3 linked regions of the Lonchura striata genome follow. The protein of the gene in region 2 purifies or fractionates together with the protein of the main gene of each other region. This does not show direct contact. Links are inferred from orthologs where the notes say so. Each region holds a gene or a part of one and is shown on either strand. Other genes may lie near its edges.

Region 1 (7,958 bases), on a different chromosome or scaffold from region 2:
CATTTCTTTATGACACCCATCTTGCTCAGTGCAGTGGGTCCTGGAGGGAGGAAGGAAGGAGGAGAGCCAGGGTCCATAAGTGAACCAACATATTTGCTTCCCTTCCTCTCTCTTTTCCCTCTTTTCAGCCCTTGTAGCAATATTTGTGGAGTCTCTTTGCAGTACTAACATCAGGAGTGAAGAGGTGGGAAAATAAAAAAAATTGGCTTTATTGTGGGGCACTTTGCTCCTCAGGTCTGCAGAGCCTGGGAGAGAGGCAGGGCTGAGTTACTCATTGTTAGCAAAGGGGGATGGGATTGCTGCTGCCTTTCCACACCTCACTTACCATGTTGACTTGCCTTGCTGGTTGGAAACTGCTTATCTATGGAGTTAATCAAATGCAGATCAGAGTTGCATTCCTTGGGCTCAACTGATTCTTCTTGGTCCTGTGTTTTGCAGATAGGGATCGAGGATTTCATGTGCTTTGTGTTTTCAGGGAAAGGCAAATTGACATCTTGGCTGAATCCCAAGGAATGGAGTGGGTGGCAGAGTTTATATATGGGCTGGGGGTTGATTTGGCTCTAGCTGCTGTGCAAAGTTCACTTTGACAGCTGAAAGATGCAGAGAGAAGCACTTTCAGAATTAGAGACAGTGAGGTAATGAGAAAGTGACATAGGAAAGGAAGTGGAGGGGGGGAGGTGGGGGGAAGGGAGGGCTCAAAACTGGCCTTGACATCATCTGATAGGTTTTCCACCCTGTGCAGCAGCTATTTTTATGCTTTCAACTCTCAGTAATTACAGCTCAATGACAGCCAACTTGCCAAAAGCAGGGGTGGTGGTATATCCCAGAGTGGGTTGGAGGACTGAAGAGCTGCTCAAAAGCTACAACAAAAGTCCAGGTTCCCAGGCATGATTCTGGCTGCTGTGACCTATTTTCACATCTGCATGGTGGTTTAGCTCTGGCTACCTGTCATGTCTAGGAGTTTTCTGAATGCTGAATGGCAGCACTGGCTGTCACCAGCTGATTGAAAATATAAGAGGAGGTAAATATCAGACTCTTCCTGAGAACTGGAGAAGCAAAAATGTACAGTGCTCCCAGCCTCGCTTTTCTTCCTCTTCCTAAAGGCCATTGTTGGTGGGGGGCATTGTTGGTGGATCCTGGGAATATCCACAGCGAACTCACATTACGTAGATGTGATCTCTAGCTGAGAAGTAAGCAACACAAGTGTCACTGTGCAGTCTGTATTTATTTTGAAATATAAAATGAATTGAGTTGTGAGACATTAAGGCTTCACAGTGATGTAGTGTAGCATTCTATTATTTTCCCAGCTTTTGTGTAATTGCTAGACATCTCAGACAGATCTTCAAATGTAGTGGTCTCGTACTTCTTTCTTAGGATTTATCTGGCTTAGACCTTGCCTGAGATCTCTCTCATGTTGTCTGAGTAAGTTTTTAGCAGTACATTGTTTATATTTAATCACTAAATTATGTGCATGCAGATCATTGGAGGCGTTGTGTCCTGTGAGAACATTGTTACTGGGGGAAAGAGGAGAACCTGCATTGAATTGCAGAGATGAACGGAGGTGAAAGGAGGAAGGTGGTGGTGGAGATTATGAACATATTTTCTATCTGCTTGATAATTTGAATTTAAAAATGCTTTTTTTTTTTTTTTTGGGGGGGGGGGGTAGAAACTAATGGTGGAGTTTTGTGTTACAGGTGAGTTCATCCAAGGTCTGCCCTCTATTAAAATTGATGTGGCCTCTCTCTCCCTTCCCTTGGCTTTTAAAGATAGAAAGAGACAAGAAATTAATTCATTAAAATTTGTGTGTATTTGAGGTACCACTACCTACTCACTACTTTGAGTGGTAGCAGTAGCTGTGTAAGCCTGTGTGCTCCTGATGCAGCATCTTGGGGAAGAATACATCCCCACATTCTGCATCTTATTTCACACTTGAAAGTTAGAGGATGTGCAGCTCTATTCATGTCTCATGCATAGATTATGAAAACTGGGCCTGATGTTTTTCAGATGAGAAATCTATGGCAAATACTTAGGTGCCCTTGGTAAAGGTGATTGTTTTGCCAATAGTACTTCTGCCAATTCTAGGGTAAAAGTTGTGCAAGACACTGAATGTTGAGTGTGCATTAGTGGGGTTGCTCCTACTTTTCTGGAGTAGTTAAGCAACTGAAACTTGTTGAAATCCTACCTCAGCTGTGAAATGGGTTTTCCAATCTACCCTGTTAATTTCCAGAGCAACTGTCAAAGTTACTTCTTACAGTGCATTGATATTTCTGTCCATGTGATTGCTGATCAGACTTTTGGATCTCTTACCAGTACATCAGGATCCAGTAAAGCAAATTAAACTTTTAAAACCTTTTTTTATGTTTATAAACCAGTAAAAATGGTATCAATGTCTCATATAACACAGGTTGCTCTTGGCTTTACTTATCTCTTAGATTCCACGTTTTGCAAGGAGAAAACCCAGAAGTGCTTGCTTGTGTGTTGAAGGTATCCTCTAAACTAAGCCCTTTGGAGTTTATCTTCTTACAGCATGGGGAACATTATCCATGTTCTCTTTGGAGTGCTGTGGCCCAGATAATTCGGATAATTACTTCTTCTTTTAGAACACTAAATAATGGTGTGGGAGAAATTTGATACTGTGAGACAAAATTTTAGAGTATCTTCCTCAGCAAATAAAAGATTTACCTAGCTACCATTGAGCCAGTCAAGTGTTCTTCTATCCAAGATGCTTTCTGCATAGGAAAAAGAAAGGTGTGTCTGTGTACATGTCTGCAGCTCTGCAGTAATACATTGAAAGGATCAGATCTTCATCAGTTCTTAAAGTTCTCTTCATCAGAACTTGGACAATGTCTTAGTGCTGTTTTGGCAATACCTGGGTATTGGCAGGTTTGCTGGATGAACAGCCAGCTCATGTTTCTCAGGTTTTGTATGCTGTAGTGACCTGCTAACTCAGAGGCCCTGGTTGGCAAAATTATAGTAGGTCCTCACCTCTGTAGCTGAATCTTGTAATTTTTACCATCTAAATGGTATAGTCTTGCCAGGAAAAGCAGAACTGGGTCTGGCACTGAGTAATTGTTCTTTAGTTATTGCAATTATTGGACCTCCCTGCTCAGAGTATCAGGCCTGACTCAATGTGTTTTGTGTTGCTGCTGAAAGGGGAGATCTGGACAATGTGTTTCTTTATCTTCTCCTTCATCCAGTCTTTAGAACTCTTGTGGTGTGCTGAGTCTCTTTCCCAAGGCAGGTCTCCACAGTGCTGTGGCTGCTAATGCTCACACAAAAACAGGCTCTTCTATTTATGCAGTAATTTGACCTTGCTGGCTGAAGTTCACTGGGAAGACTGAACCTTCACCTGACTTTTACAAATCCTAAAATTAAGATGACAATTTTTCTTGAGTATATGGTGGTAATTCAGGAGTATTGCAATTACAGAGCTTTATATTATCACCAAAGGTAATTTTTTTACTCACAGGAAGACTGGGGTTTGGATTCTTTCCTGGATGAAGGTTGAACATTTCAAAGTAAGAAAAGCACTGTTAAAAGTACTCAGAAATGTCACTGATGCCATCTAGCATTTGGTTGAACACTACTTTTCTTAGATATTAGTTTCATTATTAGAGAAGTTTTTTTTCCCTGACTGTAATTCCAGCCTTGCTTTAGAAAATGGCTTGAATGCCTCTAAAACTATTTGGAAATTAGAAAATTTTATCTTGATGGGAACAGAATATGAATTGGAAACTGTTCCTGTAGTGTTTAGAGTATTCATCTTTTAATTTTGCAATGTCCATGTGGTTATATATTTATATATTTTTTTTTTCTGGAAAGATAACAAGAATATTTTTTTTAGGTATGTGATCGTTGGATATCTCTTCTTTTTTTTTTTTTTTAAACTCCAGACTTCATAGTACTTCTTATGATTCATGCTTAGCAAAATTAAAAACCAACAAAGCTACCAGCTGTATTGGTGAGAGTACCTCCTGGTTGTTGTTCAGATGGAACATGTCTTCCCCTGGTGACTTCCAATTCCAGTACCATGCTGGGCAGTGTGTATAATCAAAATTTGTCAGCCATGTGGCATCTGTTTATGATACACATGAAATAAGCTAAAGTTGAGGTGGATGCCCCCATACAAAAACAGATTCTGAAGTTCTAGTGCCTGCAGTAGAGGTTTACTGACTTGGGGCTGCAGATTATCTTAAGGTAGGAGTTTCTGCTAGGTTGGGAGAATGGATTTAAGGGAAGAAGGGGTGAGAATATGTGCTTGCACAGAAGTAGCCTGCTCTTACCTGTGTGCGGTCTCAGGGCAAATGCATATGAAGACTCTATTTCTCGGATTATCAGTTTAGCTTTCTCCACAGCTAATACTCTTGTTTCTAAGGGTTTAAGGTAGAAGGGAGAAAAAGCATTTAGTTTCTGCCCTCAGAGCAGGGATATTCTCCTAGCTGTGTGCACAGCATGCTTACAGTCGGGAGATGCAGGGGGAGAGAGGGTTCTGCTCAATCACATGATATTGCCTGTCTGGCAGGTGTCTGCAGTGTGAGTAGAGGAACCAACTGTTCACTATTTTGGGTGAATGAGGTTGGTTGTTACTGCAAGTGGCCCCACAAAGAAGTCCACGCATCTGTTGATAAGCAGTGCTCTGCGTATTGCTGCCCAAATGCTTATAGCTGCTTGCTGAAACAGTGAAGTTTCTGTTTGAGCTTTGAGATCATAGGAAGAAAAATTTTGCCAAGAGCCTTGTTGGTTTTAATCTTTAGATGTTGGCTGTCAGGGTTTGTCTGTGCCTACAGAACCTCTCTGTTCTGATGCAAGCACAGCCTTGGAATCTAGCAGTAAATTGATTTTTTTTCTGCTCTACCGCTTGGTGCAGTGACCGAAACCTGGTAGAGAGGGATTGTAGTTGGGTCTCTTGTGAGGATCAAGCACCCCTTCCACTTGCCTGGACGCCTCCTGTGTTACAGAATCCGCCTTCAGGTCCAGGGATTTCCTCTAATATGTTGGATAAAGCCAAGACACTGCAGCCTGCCTATGTCGGGATTGTGCCGCTCGCAGAGACTGTGTCAAAGCAAGGGGAGAGCTGTTCAAGCACATATCAAGATCCATACCACAGCTTACGAGAAGGTCAGCAGGCTCTGCTCTCTTTGTTGTAGGCACTGTATAATTCATTTGTGGGGGTTTTATTTTGTTTTTTTTTTTTCTGTGTTGTTGTGGTTTTTTTTCCCTCTTGCATATTGAATCTGCCTGTTTTTGCTTTCTGGGCAATAGTCCAGAGTTTGGGTTTCCCACTGACTCCTGTGACCTCTTGTCCCTGAGGGCATTCAAGCACATCATTCGACAAGCCTGGAGCTCTGTATGAAGTGACTTGCAGTGCTGGGATCTTGAGACAATTACATTTAGAAATTTTGGGTTCAAACTTCCCTTACATCTGTAGGCCTGTTGTGAGCAACATTTTAAGGCTATTTCATTAAAGGTGTAAAGGATTGTTCTGGAGTGGCAACTGTGCCTTGAAGAAGATAAGAGTACCATGTTTTAAGTGTCTCTATGTTCTTCTTTTAAGACTGTTCAAGGAGTGTTGTGGATGTATCTAAATGTGATCTTGTCTTAGTTGATGGTATTCTGCAAATATGTGTGATTTTTTAACAAGGATTTAACAGTTCTGAAAAATTATGTAGACACAGAGAGGTCAGATTCCAGGGAGTCTAAAAGGAAAGAAGAGGATCTGGAGGGACTGAAAAAGATTGAGAAGATGAAAACAGGCAGTGATCCATTCATAGTGCACAGCATTATAAATATCAGCAAACAGGAACTGGGAAAAGATTACAGGGAAGAATGGCAGAACATCACAAAAAGCCAATGGCAAGCAGCAAGGTTTATGTTTTATCAGAAATACTGGATTTGTCAGCTACAAGTGAAATTTTAGTAGGAACTTGCAGAAGGAAACAATGATCTGGAGTACAGTGCCTCAGAATAAGGTGATGACTGATTTTAAGAGCGAGTAATGTCATCTGAAAGGAGGGGAAAATAACTTTCTGACATTTTGCACAGCAAAGCAAGATAAAGGAGGGGTAGGTGTTGAGGACAATAATCTAGATAGAATAAGACCATGTTTGTTGCATAAATATGGCCAGTGTGTGGAAGAAAATGTTAGCAGTTGCATTTAGAGTATTTTTCTCTGGTACGTAGTCTAGGCCTGCTGGGGCTGCCAGACAAAAGTGTTAGGTTTCTGCCCCCAATTGTCACTCCCCCTACCAAGCGTATTTAACATCTATCAAGAGCTACCTTATCGTTATTTTTTTAAAAATATTACTATTTTTGTTGCATGTTTTCATTGGAATATTCTTTGTTGAAATTATATGGAGAAGGAAAAGAAAACTGAACTCCTAGTCCTCAAATTCAAGTTCAGGAGTTATAAATCCATTAGTACAGGCAGTGTTCCCAGATTTCTTTATCTGCTTTGGGGACATAGAGCTGCAGCACATCAATCTTCAGAGGAAAAAAACAACCCAAAATTAAAAAAAAGCCAGAACTTGTGTCTGTCCTGTATTTGCAAGCATTGGTTTTCACAGAAGGTGAGCACTTTGCATTTGGATGTACCAGGATACATCTTTCATCCAATCACTAAATATGACAAGCTGTACAGTGGGATAACATGTACAACAAGGAAAAAGCAATTCTGTCTTACTTTAATCAATATAAAAAGGTTTGTTGCTGTCTCAAGTTGAATTGAATTAAGGCCATTGAAATCTGGTGTAATTCTGGTTATTGGAAAAGCTGTGTTGACTCTGCAAAGGCCAGCAATACCATCAGCCTACCCCATGGCTAATTTATGATGCTCTAATGTCACATGTGATAAGGAAAGCTGCTTTCCACCAGCTACCAAATGAAGGTTAGGAAAGAGAAATAGATGCTGCCAGCTTCTTTTCTGTCAGATGAAGAAAATAATAACACTTTAGGTTTGCTGCTGCTCCATTTAAGTCCCCTGCAGTTTTGGGATGCCTGTTGTATTTATTCTGTAGCATGCACTGATGCACTGTATTTTGCAGAGCCAGTTCTTACAGGCAGCAGAGGAACAGATGCATCCACGTGTAAACCCTTATGGAAGTCCAGAATTAGCACTGAGCTGAGACTGATGACTGTTGTGCCTTAGTTTTTGATCCCCCTAAAAATGGGACAGCTTAGTTTTGTTGCCACCAAGACAGAAAAATCATGCATTTTTCTTCCTGACTCTTAATAAAACTGGACGAATGAGGGCTTATACTAACGCTGACAATGCTCATCTATTCTCTTAATGATTCTCATGAGAAGCAGCTATCTGGAATAGACTACATATTGCTTCCTGATTTTTGGAAAACAGATGTCTCCTAAATCTGATTTCTTTCTTTTTTTTTTTTTTTTTTTTTTTTAATTAGGACTTGACATTGAGGTTTGGGATTTGGTGATCCTTTCTACACAGATACGGATTTGACATGCAGAAGTCAAAGAACTTAAGCTTCTATTATTCAAAATATGTGTTTAGGGCAGTTATTTGCAAAATTCCTAGAATTTAGGAATCCATAAACATGTTTTCTATTCAAGAATGCCTTGGAGTGATTTGGTTTTCAAATACTAGAGCCCAGTTTGCAGTTCCTACATCAGTTAACACAACAGTATGGTAGCCCCTCATGAGAGATATGAAGAGGGAATTGCAGAAAGCTACTCAAAACCCATTTAGCATTCACATGAGTTTAGTGCAGAATTAAGTACTATTAAGTACTTTCAAAACTGAATTGCAACTTTTCCACTCCTGTACTACATTTCTGTACATCTGTGCTATGCTTTTTTTTTTTTTTTTTTTTTTTTTTTTTTTTTTTTTTTTTGGCAATTCTTCCCTTCAAAAACATTCAGTGTGACTCGGGGCCTGACAGTGAAACTCACCTGTCTTTTTCCAAGATTTGTATCTCAGAGCCCAGACACAGAACAAG
Region 2 (8,129 bases):
AACAGGCACCTAAATACCCCAGCAGCCCCAGACATTTTGGGCATATTTCAGGGCTGCACTCAGTACCTTTGCAATTACAGCAGAGGTTTCCAGGTTCTGTCTGCTTAATATCTAGAGGCTACTGCACGGCAACAATGTTGTGGCTTGAGCATGGACAGCTGGAGGGCTCCTATGACAAGGACAATGGAAGAACACTTTTGCAGCAAGCCTAGTACCCATGACACCAGCACAGGTACAGCAGGGCTGTTCTAATTCCCAGCACCCAGCAGAGCTGCACACAGGCCTGGGAAGCTGTGGCAGAGCCCTAAATTCAGCATGCCATCCCACCTGTCTTGCACCATAAAATTTCCTGCCTCCCATCTCCAAGTACCTATGGATCTGAGCATCGGCCTGCAAAGGAAGTGGCAGGGATGTGGGACACAGCTCTGAGGAACAGCAACAGGGAGTGCAGAGACAAGAAGGGGCCCTTCCAGCAGAAAAGCTGACTCTGCCCAACCGTTCACCCACAGCCAGGCCACCCTGGGCAAAAGGCCACAAGTAACACGGGCAGGCAGGGGCCAGCGTCTGCAGGGACAACAGGCAGGGAGCAGAAATGGTCTGTCCAGCCAAATGTTTCCATTCCCCATGTCCTCCCTGCCCCCTTCCAAAACAGCACCAAAGCAAGAGACAGCTGCAGCTTATAAGGAATGTGAGGGGCCCTGCCAGGGACTCTGGCGAGGGAAACCAGGCCTTATAAGGCCATGGAGGCAGAATCAAATTTTTATCAATGAGTGTGAGAGCAAGGAGACGCCTGGGGAGAGATAACAGTGCTGAAAGCTGGCCAGGGGGGTGGGCTGGGCCAGTGGGGAGCCATGCTGCAAGGGCCAGGACCAGGATACCTGCCACGCACTTCCCTCCCTCTTTCAATCACTGCTGCTATCAGCCACGGAGCCAGCCAGCACAGAGATGACATGACACAAGCTCGCTGCAGTCGCAGCAAAAGGGGATTCATCCTCAGCGCCCAACACTGCTATTTAAAGAGGGCTGGGGATGATCAGGGCTCCCAGCACAGCCCACACCTCCCTGAGTGCCCAGGAACATTACCTTGGTCTCCCCGCTGCTGTCCGACTCGGACACCTGGTAGGTGAGGTCCGTCTCCTCAAAACCAGTGGCACTCATGCGCTGGTCAGTGGTGGGGTCCGAGCGTGGGGGCGAGTCCGGGGAATTGAGGCATGTTTGGATCAACGCCTTCCCCGTCTCGCTGGTGATCATGGGCTGCAGCTTTCGTGTGGCAAACGTGTACACATGGCCCGTCTCGCTGGCCACCAACAGCAGGACTTGAGTGCCAGTTAGCGTGGAGAGCTCATAGGCCTGCCAGCAGGACAAGGAAGAACAAGGAGTCACAGGTGACAGGGACAACAGACAGTGCAGAACAAAAGTCTCTGCATGTCCCCACGTTCCCACAATGGCTTTCTTTCTCTTCACACCAGCTTCAGCTCCCTGCCACCCCAGAGGAACTGTGGCCTCTAAAACCAACTGGCTCCCTACAGACTGAACTGCCCCGTGCTGTGCTCCCATCCCCTTTAGCACACCCCTAGGAGATGTGCCTGCCCAGACGCCATGGATAGAGTGCTCCCCTCAGTACAGAAGTCTGATAACACTGGAACACAGGATTGTCTCCATTCTGGAAATCCCACTAGCTTCTCCAGACATGTCTGGATGCCTCCCTCACCTCACCTCTCAGTGATGTTACTTGGCACACGTCTCTGCTACCTCATTCCCCTCACCAACACCCCATTCAGGCTCCGACCCAGATTCTCCTCTCAGGCTCCAGAACTCTGAGCACAGCTGCACCCAAACAGCCCTGCAGTAAGGTCACTATGCCCCAGGTGAATACCTGTGGACTAGGAGGTACACTCTTCATATGCTATCACTGCACACTCAATGGTCTCACACAAGCTTCTACAGACAGGATGGCCTCATTCCACATCCCGTAGTCCTGTACCTCCGGGATGTGCCCCAGCAGTAACTCGCACCCATTTCTACCTTCCCAGAGTGCATGATGTCCAGCTGAGCTGCTATGCAGCACTACCCAGTTGTTCAAAAGATGCTATAAGCATCACCAGGGATACAAATCCGCCAGCAGCACCCAAAATCCCCCAGGTTTCTAATCTGTCTTTGCACACCGGGAACCACGGATAGCACTCTGGACCGGCCGAAGCAGGCAGTCCTGCCGGGGACAGGGCAGGACAGTCCAGCTGTGCCACCAAACATTCGGCGTTTTGGTGGTGGCTCACAGCGAGGAGCCCCGAGGGCACCGGTCAGCTCTAGCCCGAGTCTGGACGCTGCACCGGGATGGGCCTCCCGGAACACATCACACGCCTGGGGACCGCCAAGCAAACAGACATCCCCCGGCCCCGGGGGCTCCCGCTGCCGGTCGCCCGGCTCCCTGCCCGCAGCTCCGCCGGGGGCTCCCGCGCAGCCCCCCGGAAGGGGCTGGTGCCCAGCCGCCTCCCCGTCCCGCGGGCGGGGAAGCCGCCGCCGTTTCCGGGCACAGCCCGCTGGCCTGCTCGGCGCTCGGACCCGGCCGGGACTCCCACGGACAGGTGGGTGCCGGCCAGCATCCCCGCCCGGGCCGGGCCGGGCCGGGCCGGGCCGCCCCCCCGCGCCGGCCGGAGTCGCGGGGCCGCACCTTCTTCATGATGCCGGTTTTCCTCTTGCTGAAGGTTGTGTAGCGCCGCAGCTTGTTGTCGATGAACTCCATCTTGATCTTCACCCGGCCCCGCGTCTTCTTCCCGGGCTTGGCGCCGCTCACGGCCCCGCCGCCCCCGCCGCCGCTGTAGGCGGCCGCCGCCGCCGCTCCCGCCGCGGGCCCCGCCGCCGCTGCCGCCGCCGCCGCCTCGGCCAGGCCACGCTTCACGCCGCGCCGCTCGCCGCCCAGCTCCTCCTCCTCGGCCGACTCCGAGTCGCCCTCGCTGCCGCTGTACAGCGCCTCCCGCTTTAGGCAGCCCCCGGGCGCCCCCGCCGCCGCCGCCCCGCCGCCGTTCGCCCCACGCGGCACCGGCGACCGGCCCAGCCCCGAGCCGCGGGCCAGCGCGGCGGCGGCGCCGTTCCCGGCCCCGGCCTGGCTCGGCAACATCGCGGCGGCGAGCGCGGGTCGGGTCGGGCCGGGTCAGGCCGGCCCCGCCATGTCCCCGCCGCGCTCCGCGCTCACGGCCCCGCTCCGCCGCCGCCCCCGCCGCGCCGCGCCGCCCCCATATAAAGCGATACAATGTTGCCTTTTATGGCGAAGGCGCTCCTTATATGGGGCGAGACGGCGCCCCGTCGGGAAGCGTCACCCCATTGGCTGGCGGCCGCCGAGCGCCGGAGCCCATTGGCCGTCGGTTGGCGTTTGATTTGCATACGGTCGGACCGCGCTCGCGTCACGCCCGGGTTGGAACACGCAGGGCGGCTCTTAAAGGGACCGCGCGGCCGGCCCGGGGAACGCGGCGCTCGGGCCGGGGCTGCGGCGGGGCGGGGACGGGACAGACCGCGGGCTGCGAGCGAGCTGGGACATCCCGCTGTCAGCCCTGCCTCGGGCCCCTTCCCACCGCCAGCTCCGGGCACGCGGGTCCTCGCAGGGGACACACCACGTGGCTCAAAGATTGCGTGCCTCGCCAGCCTCAGGATCCAGCCAGGAGCGGCTCCGCGCCACCGCGCCTGACTGCCAGCGATGCCACCAGCTGTTGCTCCAGGCAACTCCGCACCCCGGCTGCTGTCACAGCCCGCAAGGGAAAACTTGCCGTCCATTTGTCTCCGGTGGCTGCAGTGGCACCGAGAGGGTGTGGGGGACACGTGGGTGCCCAGGGGCATGCAGGGCACAGGACTGAAGCAGATATGTCCAAAACACGCATTGCTGAGGCACGGGCTGATGACTACTTAGCAGAAAAAATATCTCCCGTTTAACAGGATGGGCCGCAGATACCTTCAAGCCCGCAGGAGGCGAGGCTGGGGTTCTGTACCACCGCCATCCACGGGTGGGACAGAGCACCTGTACAGGCGGGAAGGGGCTGGTCTCACCCTGGCTCATGCCCATCCTGGCTCTGCACATCAGATGGCTCTGAGCATTTTGGCACAAGTCACATCCTCTGTGCAGGTGTGACCCAGCACCTCCAGAGCAAAGGGACAACCGTGTGCAAGGCACACTGCGTGCGGGTCAGCAAAATTGTGAGAGGAATAGCACAGCCCCAGAGCTCCAAACTGTGAGAACAGAGAATTCTTAGTTGAGAAAAAGGGTCCTCCCACACGCTGTGCTGCAAACAAGAACTGCAACCCAGGGCAAGACCCCACTTCTGGAAGCAGCAGTCCTGCCACAGACCCATTTTGTCTCCCGGGCACCCCATGGAGAATTGTGCAGCTCGCACAAGCCCTTTCCATATCTGCCTCACCACTCAGAGGACACACACGCTCAGCACCAGCCCTCACAGCTGTCCCCCACAGCCCAGGCCAACCTCCTACAGAGCAAGGGAGTAACTGCAAACCCAGACACCCCCCTCACTGCCACCACCGCCTCCCCCTCCTCCCGCCAGCCATGCTCCTCCAGTGAGCACACATGCCATTTATAGCTCCAGCAGGGCTGCTGGAGCTCACATGCCTCCCATCACATGCCCTGGCCACCCTCCCTTCAAGCTGAGCACAAGCTACACCTGGCACAGGTGAGACCAAGGCCTCGCCATGTCCTGCCAGGCTGAGAAAGGGTCAGCAGGACCCTCAGCCTGGCTGGGGTCACCAGTTAGGCTGGGAACAATGAGCACATGGATCTGATAGCCACAGGCAGGACAGTCAATGCAGGTAGCAGGATTTGGTTTTCTCTTGTTCATGGAACAGCTACACACTCTTTTCCTCCTCTTCCCTGGGCCTTCCAATTGCAAGGTCTTTTGCTTCCCAAGTTGCAAAAATGTCTACACAGGCAAAAGGTGAGATCTGGGTCATTGTGGGCTGGTTCATCCCTTCTGCTCTACTCCTTTCCTTCCTAAGCCTCATCCTGTGGATCCTTTCCAAGATGTCTGTCCTTGTGCTCTGAACAGGCCTAGAGCTTCAGCCTACCCCAGCTTCCCAGGATGCCAATCTCTCACCAAGGCTATCAGACCCACCCTGGAGAGCCAAGCCCTTCCCCAAGCCACCATCATCCACAGGACACAAGTTTACCAGCAGGTCCTCCCTTAACCAAACCAGCAGCCACTGACAACTGGAAGCAGCTTAAAGCAAGTTTTCAGCCTTCAAGGATTTTCTCATTTACAACCCCACATAATAAAATTCCCATTTCTAGCCCTGTTCTTATGCAGCTTTAGGGCACAGCACTTGATACGATACCTTAAAAGTCTCTTACCTGATTTCCCCCAAAGTTCCATCCAGACAAGCTGCCTGACAGCTCCACGGGAGCATGGATCCTGCTGCCAGCATGACACCCACCCTCTACCTCCCCTTTTCAATCCTTCTCTAGGCCATTGCAACAAGTGCTTCTTCACCCTTTTCCAGCTCTTCATCCATATTGCAGCTGGGTGCTGGGGTTGTGATGGTTTCCATCCTGTTCCTGATCTTCCTGCTATTGATATCCAGCTGCTTTTTCTGACTGCTGCTGAATACAGTTAGCTGCTCATTTTTTTAACAGCCAGATCTCTTCTATGAGCAGTAACAACTAGAACAGAGGTACTGTTGCACATGCAAAACTAGGTAATAGCCTTTATTAATTTTTAATTTTTTTTTTTGTTCAACACACAGGTGTAAGAATGGGGCTGCTCCCTGAGGAGTGACTCCATGTCCTCATGAACAGGTATAAACCCACAGTACATGAGCAGAGCAGCAACAGGTGTTGGTATCAGGAGCCATCCACAGAGCAAACCATGGACTAAATCCAGCATCCACTTGGTTGTGAGATAGAGCCAAAATCCTGACTGGATAATAAAGCTACCACATATGCCTACAAGACAGGGCTAGAGGCAAGGCCAAAACACGAACACCTACAAACTTGCTTAAAACAAACCTGAAAACACAGGCTTGAGCTTAAATGCAGCTCAGGAGTGTGAGGAAGTCCCAGGTGAGGCTGCTCAGGACAATTAAGACAGTTTCCAAACAAGTGCCTGACACAGCTGCAGAAGACCCAACGGGCAGCAGAGGAAATCAGAGCAAACCAAAAAGCCCTTCCTCAAACTGCATGGCACTCACAGACCAGGGGTGCTCAAAGGGTGCAGCAGTGCAGGGAGAATTTGGATAATTTCAGGGCAAGAGAAAACATCAGGGACTGCCAGAAATGTCTGGTGGATGTCTTTGTGCTTTAGGGAGTTCTTCATTGGGACTAACACTCATCTGCTTGCTGTTCTCTTACACCGCTCTGTAATGTTCCTTTTTGGTCACAGCTGGTGGCTCTCTAGGTGGACCTGTGCTCTGATGGAGCCATCTTTCTGGCCCTGGATACCACACATGGTCTTCTGTAAGATGTTCCTTCAGTTTGGGCTGAGGCAATTGGATCCCACCTCTTCTCAACTGCCTACATGCTTTCATTCTCCTTCAGTGGCTCTGATTCCCTGCTCTGCTCCACCGCCTCTAGCTGGGACTGTATTTGCTCAGATTGCTGTTTCCAATTACTTTGGCCAACATCTCTCCCCTCCCCAATTTTTTCATGACATCACTCCCAAAAATACACAATGCCAAACCCCATCATTCTGTACTCTTTGGGTCTGGAGTTTATCCTAGCTTTGATGGCTTTCCATTTGGGTGCTTCCCTGTAGTCACCAGGTCTTGACTGCATGGCAAACAGGCCATGGAGCTTCCAGGATGTGTTGGGATAAAGCGGAGCCCCTAATTCTGATGCTGCTCACAGAACCAGTTCCCTGCACCCATGCTATATCCTCCCACCACACAAGATGCCTGCATGCATAGAGCTGGCAGAACGAGGGTGGTATCCCCAAAATCCTTGGCATCTCTGGTCTTTAGCCACGGCAGAGCTGAGATTCTGCTTGGCTAGGCCACCACAAGTGGCTTGGCTGCAGGAATCAGCCCACAGAGTGCAGTGTTCCTACCTGGAAGGAAGGACAGCAGGCAGGAAAGTCCACAGGAATGGAATGGATGTGAGAAGTGGAACAAAAGGACATCAAACAACAGCAAATTCACAAGACAGGTCACTTGCAAGTTGGAGAGCACGTAAGCAGCAGTGCCACAACATTCACACACTTCAGAAGGGTTGCACACACACTGGGAGGGACTGGGAGAGCAACAAGAGGGACATGAGGCTGCAAGGGGCAGAGAAGGAAAGGCACATCCTGATCCCTCTGTCCCCAACAGGTCTGTCGAGCATGCACAGTGCCACCAGCCCCACTCTGTGGCCAGGCTCTCTGGTCATGGAAGCAGCCAGGGGTCAGGGTGGCAGTCACCTGCTGCCAAGCCTATTACACCAGAGAGCACCAGGTCCAATGAACCAGACCTGGTTGTCCTCCTCTAGAGTGGGGCACAACAGCCAGCCATTGCCACAGCTGAGCTTGCCAAGAGACCTTGGCTTGGGGAGAGTCCATATCTCCCACCTGCAAGTGTTGGAAAAAGGACAAACACCTTTGATAACTGGCAGAGCAACTGCCAGCAAAGTTACCTGCACCCAGTTTCCAAGCCTAGACCAAATCTGAGCTCAGAGTCAGCTAGCATATTCCAAGAAATGACCACTTTTCCCCCTCCAGCATCTCCATAACCTCTTCGGGTACGAGAGATGGGAAGAGGATCCTGGACATTTCTGGTCCATCCCTGATTGAAGCAAGGCAAACTACACTGGGTAGTTCAGGACTTCTCTGGTCCAGGACTGGGTATTTCTGATGATGATGATGGAGATGCCACAGCTTCTCTAGGACTCATACCTGTATTACCCTTGAGGGGAAGCATTTCCCTTAATACCTAGAATGAATGTCACTTGTGCAGCTTATGCCCTCTACCTCCCATCAGGCCTCCTGCAAAAGCTCAGATCCATCTATATAACCCCTCAACACAGGGCTGTACAGCTAAGTGAAACTGGTCCCAGTGCTCTGGTTCCAAGGGACAAACCCATGCTGGCCTGGCTCATGTTAATCCTGTGGGGACTGGGCTTCCTGTACACCATGTGCACACCTTTCCTCTCCCAAGAAGAGCCT
Region 3 (7,558 bases), on a different chromosome or scaffold from region 2:
GCCTGCCCCAGCAACAGGTGGGTTAAATACGTGGTTGCCTCCAGGAAGCTCCAGATGGACGTTGTGTCCCTGCAGAGCTACTGAGAAGTGACCCGAGGGAACCTGCCCTCCCTCAGGGGTGGCAGAATGCAGCAAGGAGCCCAAAGTGCCCCCAAAAGAGACGGTGCTGGCAGAGAGGCCTGGGCAGCCCAGCAGAGCTCAGCCCCACCCCAGCGCTCGCAGAGATGCTGTTCCCCACAGCATTCCTCTTCCCCAGCCCTGGCACACCTGGCATTTGTGCAGCTTTCCTCTCAACTGGCTTTGTGCCTCATCACTCCCTGTCCTCCTTCTCCTCATGGCTGGGTACCAGCACAACAAAAATCAGCTACTGTCTCCCCTTCCCTTAGATTTCCTTCCAAAAATGAACTTTTGTATGCCAAAGCAGGAAAGCATGGAAGAAAAAGGAAGGATGAACCCTGGGATCACTTCCTGACAGGCCTCCTGGAGCTGTAGCCAGTTTTAATTTACATTTTCACAGCTGTGAGAGGGGGCAGTGCCATCTTTCTGCTTTGGATCCTCACAGCCCTGGGCAGAGCTGAGCAGTGCAGAGGTGGAGGCTGGTGGCATCTCCAGGGGATTCTGGATTTGTGCCTGCCCCTGCTGCCTCCACCTGGGCAGGAACAAGACCTCGTGGGCACAAGCTTTGCCTACAAGTGTCACAAGTGCCACCAAGTGCCAGGACCTCTCCCTCCACACACTCCACCAGCCTGTGGTTGGTGTGATGGGGTTTGTTCCATCTGGCTGGCACCACCTGCATCCCTGCATCCACTGGAGGACAATTTTCAGCTGCTGGATGATAAATATCCTCTGGCTGAGCCACAGGACCCAGTTTGGCTCCCTACAGCTGCCCTGCCTCACCTCTCCAGGGGTTTTGACCCTCTGCAAGCATTAGCAAAAGGAACATTTCACTTGTGGGGCAGCAGAGCAGCACTGGCACCCTGGCTGAGCAGTGACCCATTCACAGACACATTGATAGCCCTGCTCTGCCCCAGAGTCACCTCAGGATCCCGGATAAAATCACAGCTCCCCACTCCTGCTCCTCCTCCTCCTGCCAGGCTGAGCTGCCCTCGCCCTGGGCTTTACTGAGCCCACCAGCTCCCCACCCCAGCCACAGCTCCTCACTCCCCACGCTCCTAAAACTGCACACAGTTCCTAAAAATTCACCTGTCAATTTTTCATGGCAAGGCCAGAGCAGGAAGAGGCTGGAGGAGGAGGGACACCTGCATTGTGCAGGGACATAGTATAGCTGAAGGGGCTGAGGAGCCTGGGGAATGACACCAGGACAAGAGATCCAGAGCTGCAAAAACCCCTCTGTGATGGACAGAAGTCATGGAAAAACAAATATTGCCTGTGGTGAGCGTGGCTGAGGAGAGGATGTAGCAGAAAAATGCCCAATATGTGGCTCTTTGGAGCTCTGGGAGACCATGCCCACAGCAGCTCCTTGCCCAAACACAGGGCAGAGCCACTTGCCCATCTGCTGCTGCCCAGTGCCATGGACCCTGCCTGGCCCTCCCTGCCCCAGGGGTGACACAGGAGCCCTGGTGGCCCTGCCCCACCCTGCTGGGCTGGGAGAGGGCAGCTGGGGCCAGCAGCATCCCGCCAGCAGCCAGCAGACAAAATGTCCCTAAATCTCAGTCCCCCAGGGAAAAGAAACCCTCTCCATCTGCTGGGGCGGCCGGGTCAGCCCACACTGACCTCTGCTCACAGCCTTGGCCCGAGGTTTCTTGACACCGAGAGGCAACGAGCAGAGCCCAGTGTGGAAGAATAAACACGGCCTGGGATACCCAAATTGGGCTGGGAAGGGCCGGGACACTTTGGGTGCATTTCACAAGCCTTTAGATCATTCACACTGGGGCACAGGGGTCAGGGCTCTGGGCGCTGGCCCAGGCGCCAGGGTGAGCTGGCCCTGCTGCTGGCGCGGGCAGGGGTTACACAGCTCCTCTGTCTGTCCCTGCCAAGCTGAGGAGATCCAGCAGGACAGGCCAGGGCTGCCCTGGGGCTGCAGGAGTGGGCAGGAGAGCCACAAAGCAGCAGGCAGTCTCTGACATCCCAGGAATCAGGCCTGGAGCTCGTCCCCCACTGCTGGGGATGGGCAAGGGGCTCTGCCCTGGGTTTGGGCAAGGAGCTGGTGCTCAAGCACTGCTGCACCACAGCTTATCAGGCTCTGGGTCCAGTTTTGGGGAGGAGCTGTTGGTTTTGGTGGGTCCCCATCCCTGTGTCACCCTGTGCCACCAGCTCAGGCAGGGCTGGCAGACCAAGGGCAGCCCCGATGTCCTCCCCATGTCACAGCACCACCTGTAAAACACATTCTTTCTGAGCACCCCAAGAGACTTTCTCCTGCAAACCCTTCCAGACAAACCCAACTTCTTTAGCTGGCAATACATAAACAGTTTATCGGCTTTGCGCATTTGCAGTGCAGCGGGATGGATGTTGTTCTTGGAATTCTGTTTGGTCATAATATTTAGAAGAGGGCTCTGATAGCAAAGATAAGCAGCTCGCCCACAGCAGATGGCTCGTGAGACACTCAGCGGAGCCAACATTCTGTGGGGAACGAATAAACTTGTAATGCAAGTTGTTTGTAAGTGGTTTTAGCTAAATGTCACATGTAAGACTGCACAGACATGCTCTGTCCAAGGTGTTTGAATTTATAGGAGCGAGGATTCAAAGGCAGGGGCCAAATTTGCTTTTAAACTTCCTTAAACAAATGTACAGAGGATAAAATACCTCTGGATTTGCTCTTGGAGCAGGGGTGTGAGCAAGACAAAGCCCATCCCTCGCAGCAGGTCCTGGCCAAGGGGCTGTGCCTGCCACCATGCCCAGCCTGGGCTGGGGTGAGGCAGGGCACCGTGACCTCCTGAGGTCCCCCTGGCCCACATCCACTTTATGAATGGCCTCTGCTGTGCTGGCTCATTCACCTTCCTGCAGAAGGGAGGCAGGGAAACGTTCTCCTCCCAGGGAGCACCCAGGGAGCTTTTACTTCATTCTTATTTTCTTTAGCCTCTTTTTCTTTATCCTCTCTGACCGCACGGCGAGGCTGGGAATGGGTCCTCACACACATCCAGAGCATCCCAGAGCTGAGCTCCTCCCTGGCAGCCAGGGCAGTGTCTGTGCTTGGCACAGGAGATGCCCAGAGCAGTGAGAGCCCAGAGGAGGCAAAACCATCCTCGCTCACAGGGCTCTGTGCTGTGCATGCTGTGGGTGCTTCCAGTGCTGCAGGGCCGGGCTGGGGCTCTGTGTGGAGCCTGGGGAGAGCAGTCCCTGCCCTGCCAGCCCTCTCCTGGGAGCTCTGCCCACTTCACCTGCTCCGTCCCTCCTGGCATGGTGACACAGTTGTGCCCAACAAAGGGCACAACTCACCCCACTGCTCCTGGTCACTGGGAGCGATGGTGCTGCCCATGACTACCCACCCCACTGTGCCCCTGAACCAGAGCTTGCCATGATGCCAGCCTGAGCACCCTGATGTGCAGAGCCTCGCCCTCAGAATACAGAATATAAATAAATATGAAGCAAATGGAGGTTTTAGGGCAGAGGCTGGTCCTTCTTCTTCACCTTCTCCTTCTATCTTGTTCTTCACCTTCTCCTTCTATCTTGTTCTTCACCTTCTTCTTCTATCTTGTTCTTCACCTTCTTTTTCTATCTTCTTCTTCACCCTTTTCTTCCTTCTTCTTCACCTTCTTCTCCTATCTTCTTCATGCGTTTGGGTGGTGTTTTGTGATTGGGCAGAAAAGTCCTCATTGTGGACTTTGCATGATTAGTTATTAGGTTAAAAGTGAAAATAATTTAGGTGTCATTTCTTAATTAGATGGTTTAGCCTTAAAAGGCCTCATAACAAGAGATAATTAGCCATTTTGTGCTTTGTTAGTGAGATAGTGCAAAACTCACTGCTGTGAGACTGTAACAATAGATAAGAAATAATAGATAAGAATAGATAATAAGATAATGGATAAGAAATAATAAACACCTGAGTCTGAGCACAAGCTAGCGTCTCAAGTACCTTCAATCCCAATCTCAACAGAAGAAAAAAGAAGCAGAAAACCAGCACTCTGACACAATGAAAAGGCTCTTTTTGCTGCAGTCTGGGGTGAAAAGCACACAGAACAGGGTGAAATGTATTTCTTCTAGGTTTTGCTTTAAAGGCTCCTGCACAACAGCGCAAGGCCTGTGCAGTGTGGTGGAAAATCCCAGCACCAAAGCACGAGCCCGGCTGCCTGGAGGGGCTCAGCCCAGGGCCTCCTCTCACATCACTTCAACACCCAGAAGGGACTCCAGGACCAGCCACTCGGGGTTCAGAGCATCCAACAAAGGAGAGAGGCTGAAGCCAAGCAACATTTGTCTTGTCCTGTGTTGCATGAGTTAATGAACGTGGTGTTCCCACCCCTCTCCATTCATCCAGCCTCCCCCTTCCAGTACTAAAGAGTCACCCAGGTCAGGCTGCTCTGGGATGTCCTCACGCCAGAGCTCCTTGGAAACTCTTTGTTTGCAAAGTCACCCTCCTGCCCCAACAGAATAGTCTTGGGCTTCTCTAAGTGCGTCTCATAATTGTCTAAATTTATGAGGCCTCTACTGAAATGTTGAAGACAGCATTTAGAGTCCCTCGTTTCTCGTTCTGTTTAATCCGTTCCCCTTTTCCCTGGGTTGTGATTCCAGCTCAGCATGTGAAGCTCTGCCATTGCCAACAGGCTCTTTCATTTCCAAAAGGAGGCAGCCCAGCCTCTCTGTGATTCTGTTCCTTTCCCTCTTGAGGTGCCTCTTCACCTTTTTTACAAGTTTTTTACAAGTGGTTTAATTAGCAAATTAACTGCAGGCTGGGCATGGATCACCATGCACAGTGAGCAGTGGGATTGAAATTCCTTTGGCCAGCAGGAGGGATGGTCTGCTTGCCCTCAGGATGGGCCCAGTGTCCTGACACATTCAGAAAACCTCACCTTCTCTGAGGGCTCCTCAGTAGCATCAGTCCTACCACCTTTATCTCCACGCTGTCACTCTCTGAATGACGGATTTTGGCTGAAGGTCACAAATTTATCGATTTTGGTGAAGGGGTCGAACTTTATAGCCAGAGAAACACCAAAGGCAACAAGCTGTGGGTACCCCAATATTGGTATTTCACCCTGAGGCTCCCATGGAGCACTTTCCCTCGGCACAGTCTGATGGTGTGGGTGATTCATGATCCTTCACCAGAAAATGCTTTAACTGCATTTATAGCAGCAATTTAACTGAAACAATGGGATTGGTTCACCTCTGAAATGAGACTTGACAAAGGATGCTCCTCTACACGACTCCTACCCGTGCTTGTTTCTCCTGCAGTGGGTCCTGCTGCTGCAGCCCCCCTCCCTAGAGCACAGGGGTCTGCCACCCCTCCATGGCCCTTCGGCCACCCCAGGACCCTCCCCAGCTGCAGCAGCCGTGGCTGGGCAGGGGCAGAGGCTCTCTGGAGAGCTGGGAGTGAACCAGCAGCAGAGGACTGCCCCAGGACATGGCAGTGACACTGCCTGAGCCCCTGCAGCTGCAGGAGCAGCGGTGGTGCCTCCAAGCAGCAGCTGGAGCAGCCACAGAGCAGAGCTCAGCTGTCCCCCCCTGCCCCAGGAGGGTCCCTCCCCAGCTGGGCTCCTTCAGAGCCCTGCCAGCAGCTCTTGCTCTCCACTGAGACGCAGCCATTGAACAATCCCTCTCTAATTGGCATTGTTTGCTAAAATTAAAGCCCTGCTCGGTGAAGCACGGCCAGGAAGACACAGCTCCCCCAGGGCTTGGGCCGTCCCCGTCCCTCAGACCGCTGCCCTCGTGCTTGGCCACGATCCTGCTGTGGGAATGCCCGGGCTGGTGGTGGTGGCATGGGCAGGGACAGCTCCTCACTGGTGACATGAACCCCCAGGTGCCCACACTGGCACAGCTGTCCTGGCAGGACGCTGTGAGCACCCAGAGCACCCTCCCTGCCCAGCAGTGTCCTGGGCTTTGGGTCCATCCAGGATGGCACCTTCCTTCCCCCACGTCCCCAGCAGTAACCAGCACAGGGACGCTCCTCTCCAGAGCAGGGCAGGAAGGCAGATAGCAAACTTTGCATGCTGAATTTTCTACAACTAACTATAAATGGTAAAAACTCAAAGTCTTGCTTTCTCTGGAGGTTTTCAAGCAAAATAACCCCAAGAACGGCAGCTTTGACTTTTATTCGGATGAGAAAACATTCTTTTATTTTGACATCATCTTTGTCCGTTTTTATCATAGGGATAAAGTGTCTTTTATCTGGACACAATGCATCAAGTTGCAGGGTGAGTCATAAAGTGAATCTATAGGATGGAGCCAAGGTGCTGCTCTGGGGCAATGTCCAAATGTCACGTCGAGGTACGAGGCAATAAACAGCCATCCCTGCTCTCCGAGGAGCCTGCCTGGGGAGAGGTGTCACTTCAGAGACATCCCCATGAGCTGGGCACGCTGAGTGAACCTTTCTCACACCTCCTTAATGCAGCAGGGATGTGGGGGGGTCCCTGTGCCCTGGGCTGCCTCACAGGCGCTGGCAGCAGTGGGAGCTGCTGTGGGGTGATGCCCTGTCAGGCAGGGTCAGCTCTGTCAGCCAGCACTTGGCAGGATTTCCATCTGCAGCACGCTCTGAGTTCAGTGCCAGCCTCTCGGAGGATTGAGGAGCACACCAGAAAGCAAAATGACTTGTTTTTACCCTCAAACTGGTCCAGCCAGCTGTAGCGGGGCAGGGGGCTCACAGGGCAGCAGTAATGGATAGGTTAGGCTGGGAATGTGTTCTGCTCTGGGGGGTTCCCCTCCAGGGATGCCTTTGGATGCTGAGTGAGAGGAGGGTCCCAGGGAACACGGGGAGCTGTGGCTGCTCCCAGGAAGCAGGGCTGGGTGAGCAGCAACATCTGCACTGACTGCAACCAGCAGCACAGCCCAGCTCAGCCCGGGGCAGGAACACTAAAGCAGGCACCTCTTGCACCTCTGGGCTCACAGTGGCACTCAGCCTTTACCCACTCTCTTCTCAGAGGGGTCTTCTGCTCCGCAGGGCCCCTGCCCACCCCTCTCCACTCTTCCAAAGCTGCTGGATTAGGATTCAGAGGTGAAAGCCCAGCAGGAAACGCTTTGATACCAAGAGACCGACCAGCCCAGGAATGTTACAGGATTTTTCCGTGGCTGTTTCTTCTCAAGCATGCACACAAGCAGCAGCACTGGGTTATGCAACTTTGTGCCTCAGTGCCTTTAGCAGCTCCAGGCAGGGAGAAGGGGCGTTATTTAGAATACCCCTCATTAAATCAGGCTGAGGAATCAGGACTGGCACGAGCAGCAGGACTTGCAAACGACATCCATTCCAAATGTTCCCACTAATTAGCACACCACAGCATCTTTCCAAGAACAAGGGAAGCTCTGACAGCCGTGGCACTGCAGTAACATGTAGGCTGATGGAAGCGTGTGTCCTGAGGGTGGGTGGCCAAGCCCTCGTGGATGTGGCCTGGCTTGGCTCACAGCACGGCCTGACCACGAGGCAGGGCTGGGAAACCACTCTGACAAACACACCCTT

The links. Proteins that work in one complex are often made in the same cells at the same time.
Region 1: the proteins of SRF (region 2) and MRTFA purify together in Homo sapiens (affinity purification with western blotting; 4 studies listed by BioGRID and IntAct, with this or other methods). This does not show direct contact. The link is inferred for Lonchura striata from reciprocal best matches to the Homo sapiens genes SRF and MRTFA.
Region 3: the proteins of SRF (region 2) and MYOCD purify together in Homo sapiens (affinity purification with western blotting; 3 studies listed by BioGRID and IntAct, with this or other methods). This does not show direct contact. The link is inferred for Lonchura striata from reciprocal best matches to the Homo sapiens genes SRF and MYOCD.

The regions. Positions count from the first base shown.
Region 1 is NC_134607.1:24,737,802-24,745,759, reverse strand, and holds the start of MRTFA (myocardin-related transcription factor A), read left to right. Parts: upstream 1-4,522; 5' UTR 4,523-4,991; coding exon 4,992-5,118; intron 5,119-7,958. UniProt on the Homo sapiens protein: Transcription coactivator that associates with the serum response factor (SRF) transcription factor to control expression of genes regulating the cytoskeleton during development, morphogenesis and cell migration.
Region 2 is NC_134605.1:18,595,105-18,603,233, forward strand, and holds the start of SRF (serum response factor), read right to left. Parts: upstream 3,119-8,129; coding exon 2,672-3,118; intron 1,351-2,671; coding exon 1,084-1,350; intron 1-1,083. UniProt on the Homo sapiens protein: SRF is a transcription factor that binds to the serum response element (SRE), a short sequence of dyad symmetry located 300 bp to the 5' of the site of transcription initiation of some genes (such as FOS).
Region 3 is NC_134621.1:1,673,613-1,681,170, reverse strand, and holds the start of MYOCD (myocardin), read right to left. Parts: upstream 3,437-7,558; coding exon 3,397-3,436; intron 1-3,396. UniProt on the Homo sapiens protein: Smooth muscle cells (SM) and cardiac muscle cells-specific transcriptional factor which uses the canonical single or multiple CArG boxes DNA sequence. Acts as a cofactor of serum response factor (SRF) with the potential to modulate SRF-target genes.